Cricetulus griseus: one gene and its partner. The protein of the gene in region 2 binds, or shares a complex with, the protein of the main gene of each other region. Links are inferred from orthologs where the notes say so. Each region holds a gene or a part of one and is shown on either strand. Other genes may lie near its edges.

The links. Proteins that work in one complex are often made in the same cells at the same time.
Region 1: Cep290 (region 2) and Tmem67 share a complex: the UniProt entries of both Homo sapiens proteins name them as parts of the tectonic-like complex. The link is inferred for Cricetulus griseus from reciprocal best matches to the Homo sapiens genes CEP290 and TMEM67.

What each region holds. Positions count from the first base shown.
Region 1 is NC_048595.1:126,333,718-126,337,372, reverse strand, and holds part of Tmem67 (meckelin), read left to right. Parts: intron 1-1,870; coding exon 1,871-1,940; intron 1,941-2,036; coding exon 2,037-2,111; intron 2,112-3,655. UniProt on the Homo sapiens protein: Required for ciliary structure and function. Part of the tectonic-like complex which is required for tissue-specific ciliogenesis and may regulate ciliary membrane composition.
Region 2 is NW_023276806.1:166,108,579-166,112,233, reverse strand, and holds part of Cep290 (centrosomal protein of 290 kDa), read right to left. Parts: coding exon 3,243-3,655; intron 2,241-3,242; coding exon 2,076-2,240; intron 1,152-2,075; coding exon 1,044-1,151; intron 836-1,043; coding exon 701-835; intron 1-700. UniProt on the Homo sapiens protein: Involved in early and late steps in cilia formation. Its association with CCP110 is required for inhibition of primary cilia formation by CCP110.

The DNA.
Region 1 (3,655 bases), on a different chromosome or scaffold from region 2:
ACACACCTCCTCTAACAAGGACACACCTCCTAATCCTTCTCAAACATTTCCACTCCTTGATGACTAAGCATTCAAATATGTGAGCCTATGATGGCCAGTCTCATTCAAACCAGCACAAGGACATATTAATGAATGTTGTCATAACTCAGGTACACTGACTGGTAGCCCAATTTTGTAATGCTTCTGTTCCCTCTTTATGTATTCATTTACCACATGCACATAAATTCATAAGCACATCCCTTTTTCCACATGTTCCTCTAGTGTAAATACATTATACCTAGTCCATTATACCTATACCAGTGCCTCTGGGCACTGTTTTTCTTTTTATTTTCTAAGTTTTCTTCTTATATATATTGAAGTGAGTAGCTGAGATTTCTTTTATGAATAGAAGATAATGAGGTGTGTATAATGAACATAACCATCTTCATTAAAGGAGAATATCAGAGAGATTCCTTCATTGTAATGAACACCAGCCTCACATAATATAAATGGAGACCAAGAGAGACATCTGGATTTCCATCCAACTTGGTAGTACCTGGGCACTCTGCTCCTGTCCACTGGAATGGGGTTAGAAGAAGGTATACAATAAGTCAGAGCTTTTAAACATTGGCCAAAGGCAATGAGTTCACCCTTACCCTCTGCTGTCTGGACAACAAATACATCAGCAATGAGGAAATCCTAACAAAGAACCCATGGGTGCATGCATAGAGACTTAAGATACAGCGCCCCTCCGTGATCATCCCGAGTACTCCTGGCCATAGCAGTGCATTGTGGGGATGTGTCAATGAGTAATTAAAATGCCCCAAAGAAACTGAAAGACTGAGGATACAGTTCAGAGGGAGAGTGTTTGTGTTGATGTACAAGACTTAGGGTTCAGACTGAATAAATAAATGAATAAATATTTCTCTTCAGAGAAGTGAAAAATTCATCAAAAGTAAAGAAAAATAGATATAAATTAAATGGAACTTCTAAAAGAAAACAAGTAAAACAAAAACACAGCATATGAGATAAATAGAATTGAGGACAGTAAAGAAGAAATAAATACACTTGTCAATAGACTAATTGGATAATTGCAACAGAAAGTAAGTTTGTTGCTTCCCCCCACTCCACTCCTCAGAGAGGTAAGCCTTCCCAGGGGAAGTCAACAAAGTCTGGCATATCACTGTAAGCCTGGACCAGGGCCTTCCTTCCTATACCTAGGCTGAGCAAGGTATCCCTCCAAAAAGAATGGGCTCCAAAGCCAGTTTAAGAACTAGGGATAAATCCTGGCCCCACTGCCAGTGGCCCCACAGACTGTCCAAGTCACACAACTTTTACCCACATCTAGAGGGCCTAGTTTGATCCTGCTTTTTAACTTGTCTGTCTCAGGTAATTGATGGTCCATATAAGTCCATCTCAATCCCCACTAGTCCCACTGTCTCCATCTCATACCTTAATTGAAAATAACAGAGATGATAGACCAATGTGTTCTTGCAACTTTGGCAAAAGGCTAAACATGCTTGTGTTCTCAGCTCACACTGAAAAGGTGTATTTGATATACCTACTTGTGCAAATGGATTTAGTATCATTTACATGAGTTTGTTGGACTCTGTTGTTAATGATTTTATAATCTTCACTATACTCATGTTATACATTTTCAAGTATGTAGTTAAGAAAATACCCTCTATGATTAGCCAATTTCATTTATACTTTGCTTTATTATAATGATGTAAAACTCTTTAAAGGCAGGCTAATATTTCAAGCTTATACAATTAATTGCTTAGTTGACTTACTGTGTTCTAATGTGTCATTTAGGGAAGATAAGTTCTCAGTTAAGTTGGGCTCAATGTCATTCATTAACATTTAAAATTATTTTTATTATATTGATCAGGTGTGTCCGCTGTGAACCAACGTTCGTGAATACCAGCCGGTCTTGTACATGTTCAGAGCCTCACATTTTAGTAAGGACAAACAAGGGGATGAAGTACATATTTTTAATTCAATACATAATAATACTTTTCTATAATTAGATATTTTTCTCTTATTAATTTGTGAAGACAGGTGGATTATGTTTCAGCAACACAGGGAATTTTCGACAACGTGTGATTTCCACGGCACGTTACGGAGAGCTTGTGAGTGTTTTGGGGTTCTTTTTTGATTGACCAAGCTTGTCTTGCATTTCTTCCTTTGATTAATTTCAGACAAACTGAGAAAGCTTTATGTGTAAATGACTTTAAAATACAAATAGTTAAAACCATGAGTCTGACATCTCAGCAGTATATTTTAAAAGTGTACTCCTTCTCTTTACCTTCTCTCATCCCTTTAATTTACATGAATTTACTTTTTCATAATTAAAACTGAAATTGCCAGGCAATGATGATCCCACCTCTCAGGAGGTAGAAGTAGGTGGAACTTGTGAGCTCGAGGTCAGTCTGGTCTACAGAGTAAGTTCCAGAACAGCCAGAACTATGCAGAGAAGCCCTGTCTCAGTGGAGGAGAGGGGAGAAATAATTTTCAAAGAATCACAACGTTGTATTTTTCCTGAAATTTCCAGCTTTTAGAGGTTATGTTCTTTTTTGTTTTCCAGTTTGAGACAAGCCCTCTGTCTGTCCTTTTCTTTCATGAACTTGACAGTTCAGGTTCCAAGACTTCCCATCTGTGGGATAACTCCAGCCTGCATCTGTCCTGTGCCTCATCATAGTCAATGTGTGCTTGCTAGAAAACCATTAAAGAAAAAATGGTATACTCAACTCAGTGCTCTATGTCCTGTCAGACAGTGTACAATGTCTCTCCATGTCAGAGAGCATACAGTGACTGTCTGCCTGCCCCATCGCTGATACTGTCAATTTTGAACACCAGCTATGATGTTATTATGAGTACCTTAAACTCACCATTTCCTCCTTTGTAATTGAAGAGTGCTTTTTTAAAGAGAATTTCTCCTGTCCAAGGACTGTCTGAGCCTGACCCTGCTTAGCTTCTGAGATAGGTGCAGTCAGGGTGGTGAGGCCATAGATGGTGTGAGGAGAATTTCAAAGGCTATATATACTTTACTGAGTCTTAATGTACCATCTGATCTCCCTTTGTGATTCTTTCCTTTAACAGCCTTCCACATTTATTCACTGACACTGTTCATAAAGAACATTTGTGCATGTGTGAATATGTGTGTGTGAGCATAACTGTGCACGTGTATGTTTCCTAAAAAAGAAAATTTTGCTTACTGAAGAGATGAAAACAGTGCCTCATAATTGTATTTTAATGTATCTGATGGCTGTGATACCATTCTAGATTTGGTTGTATCTCCTCTGTTATCTGTAACTCACTCTTGTGTTCTCAGTTTTTGAGCTTTTGACCAGAGGTTTATACCTATATATAGTTCTCAGAATTCAGTTATGAAAACAGGTTTGATGACACACTTCTATAGTCCTAGTACTTGAAAGTGGAAGCAAGAGGATCAAGAGTTCAAGGTCAAAGTTGTCTATGTAGTGAGTTTGAGACCAATCTGGGCTGCATGAAACCTGTCTCCATAAAATAAACAAACAAAAACCATGTATGCCTGCCCTGGCCTGGCCTCCTGGAGTTTCTGGTTGCCTTTGGATAAATAAAGTAACTTTTGGTTTTAGAACATTCCAAAGGTTATTCTGATACTCTTCGGTGTACAAAGCACCATTTTGGAGAT
Region 2 (3,655 bases):
CGAGACAGGGTTTCTCTGTGGCTTTGGAGCCCTGTCCTGGAACTAGCTCTTGTAGACCAGGCTGGTCTCGAACTCACAGAGATTCACTTGCCTCTGCCTCCCAAGTGCTGGGACTAAAGGCGTGCACCACCACTGCCCGGCTCACAATATAGTTTTCTTAAGTGCACTTACTAATGTTTATACATAAACTAAAATTTAAATAATATTCATCTTATATTATTTTATAAATAATTTAATGAGCTGATTTGACCACCTATTAATCAAATTCTGTACATAGATTAAATAGCTCTATTTGCTTCAACTTTACCTACTCACAAATAAAATGAACAAAGAAACTAAAGGATATGCAATGCAAACTACAAAACAAATAATAAAAATAAATAATGAAAACAACAGTTAAGGGAAGGTACTATACTGTTCAGAAAGCTACAATTAAATGTTTTTAATTACACTTGGTTCTCACTTTTATGTTTAGTGTTCCCAAAGCAGAATACAGTAAACAAATGAATGGTAAATACAAATTAACTGTATGGACTATTCATTGTCAGCTATTAGAAATAGTATATAAGAACTGAAAAAGAGAGAAACTAGGAACAAATCTAACATTTTATACTTTATTGCCATTACTAAATATTATTTAGAAAATTCCAGAAACCATACCCAATAATATACCAATCAAAATACAAATTCTTCCAATTACCTCTTCTAGTGACTTGCAAGTGGCTTGTGTTTTAAGAATTGTTCGAATATTCTCCTTAATTTTGTGTAAAGCAATTTCGAGTTGGTTTGGAAGGGGCAAGCTGGGGTCTGGCATTGATCCTGTAGCCTCTTCAAACTATTGAAAAATAACATGCTTTAAAAACAGCAGTGTAGTACTGAGAAAACAATATTATATCTTTTAAATGTGTCAAAAAAAATCATGAGCTAAATTTTACTTCTCTTTAATAAACAAAGAAACCCATGACAATTCACCTAAAGCACCATACAGTTAAAAATATACCTAATCCCAAGAAGCAGCAAACACAATTAGTCATTTTTTATACCTTTTGTGCTGCACTGAGTATTTCATTTTGCTGACGGTCAAAAAGGTCTAGTTGGCGTTCTAGCTCAACTTCTCGTTGATCCCAAGCCATTTGTCTTTCTTCATGAAACTAAAAAAGACATTTGGTTAGGCCATACACAGTGACACTGAGCATGTAACAGGTATATGTACATTTTCTTATTTAATCCTCATCTTTTGGCAACTATCACTCTTATTACATAGGAAAAGATACAAACTTAGGAGGTCAAGCCAAGTTGCCTAAGATCACAGAGGTGGGCAGGTATGAAGTCAGAATTTCAATCTAGTCATGAATCCATTCATCCATGCATTCCAAACATGTATTTTTCAAGCACCATTTGGGGCAATATAAGCATAGCAATAAACAAAACCTCATCTGTCACCAAGGAACTTATATCCCAGGAAGTAAGAAACAGGCAATAACAATTATGTAAGACACTAGAGGATGGCCAACACTAGAAAATGAAAGCAAGTACTCTCTATGTAGGGAATTTTGATGGCACAATTGACTATTCAATACCAAGGAGCCTTTGCAGTTCCATCTGCAAGAAGAAATGTGAGTGAAGATCTTAAGGCAGTGACAGTGTGAACATGAGTATCTATGATACAGAAGACAGACCTAAGCACAGGGAACACAGTCTCTGTCTCTATGGCAAGTATGTGTTTTCTGAGTGTCATCTGGCTCTCAAGCATCTACTGTTTCTACCCCATGCTGTGTTCTAAATCAACAATGACAACAGGCAGAAACTTGCCTGAAGAAGTCAAATAACTTATCAAAATAAAAATTAACTTACTAGTAAGTTTGATGACATACTGTCTTTTTGTTTTGTTTTAAGCTTAAGACTTCTGTTACAACTGAGTCAATTTGCACATTTGGAGTTTAAGAAGCAAGAAACAGGTTATTTTGTTTCTCAATATGACAGGAGCTATATTTCATCACAACAATACAGCTTAAATGTAATGACCTGATGTTTATAGCCTTAACAAAAGAACAGAAGTAAAAAGAGAAGGAAACCTTGCTCTGCTGAACAATTTCTTCCTCAAGACTGTTGATTGTTTGCTCATATTCAGAGATGATATTGTTCAAGTATTTGATTTCTTCTTTACCCTTGGCTAGTTCTCGATTTAGCTTAAGTTCCTGAAGGCGAAGTTCTTCTATTTTCACATGCCAATTGATTACCTAAATTATATATACACATAAATGCTATATTATTGTTTTAATTGAAATTAATGGCAAACTGTAATAAGATGAAAGAAGTTAGTCTATAGCCAAGACATATGGCAAAGCTATTTAGAATTTCCAAAGACTATTCTAAAATATGTACAATATTAAAATAAAACAGTCTTCAAATTATTTTTAAATGAATAAACAGATATCAGTAACATTTCCTTTCAGTTTTTCATTCAGTGTCACTTGTTTTTTAGTGACACGTTGGTACTGCTCTGAGTTCCCACCATTGTCTACAGTGATGTAGCCACTGGTGACACACTCATGTTCCAGGGCACAGCTGCTCACTCACACCCACATGCTCAGTCAGTAACAAAATGAAAATGAAAACACATGAAACACAGGACAAGGATTCGATGGGATGAAGTGGTGGGGGTGAGGAAGAAGAGGCTACTATAAAGTGTGACCAGAATCTACTGTATAAACATATAAAAGAATAAATTTTGAGAAATCTGTCCAATAAATGAAAATTAAAAAAAAAAAAGAAATTCTAAGTTGTTCTACATAGAGAAAAGGATGTAACTAGAAGGTATTATTTACCATTTAATTCTTCCCAAATGATGGCAAAAACTAAACTTTAAAACATAAATGTGGACATCTATGAAAACTATAAGTGTACACAAGGAAGATCTATAAGTAAAAACATGGAAAAACAAATAAACAGAAAATATTTGTGGAGTAGAAATAAACTGATAACTATTAAGTCATTTAAATTATTATACTTAACATTTATTTGACCTTTCTTAGAATGTTTAAGATTCTGTGCTATCACACACAATAAAAGTATTTTTGCTAAAGATCCTTGCATAGGAAAGTGCAAATTCCCACTGTGTTAGATCTAAGCTAATTACAACTAGTATTTTAAATGCAGGTTGAATATTTTTCATGAAGCTATGAATTAAGAGTAATATTACTACATAACATAGAAATACTGAGTTTCAGATCAAGTTTTACCTTTTGGGCGCCCCTGGCATCCTTTAAAGTACTTATCAATTCTTCTAAGCCTTTTAATTTTAATTCCATCTCCATCGTTTTATTTTCCATATTTCTGCGCTCTTGTTGAGAATTTTTCATTTCTTGCATGATCTTCAGTTTGTCATTTTGCAGCTGAATCATTGTTTTGGAGAACTTTTCCTGCTGGGCCAAGGGTAAAGCGCCACTGAACTGTCTTCGTAGAGACTGAATAGTTTGGCGCAGGTGCTTTGCTCTGTTTCTGCCTTCCAGGCGAGCATAGAAGAGAGTCTGCTCTTTTTCATCCAGTTTCTGCTCAAGGCGCAAATTGTAGGCCTCCATCTTCTGGAGTTTAGATGTAACTGACTCCAACTTACCAAGAGCAGTAGCCTCACTAATTTGAAGAGAGACAACAT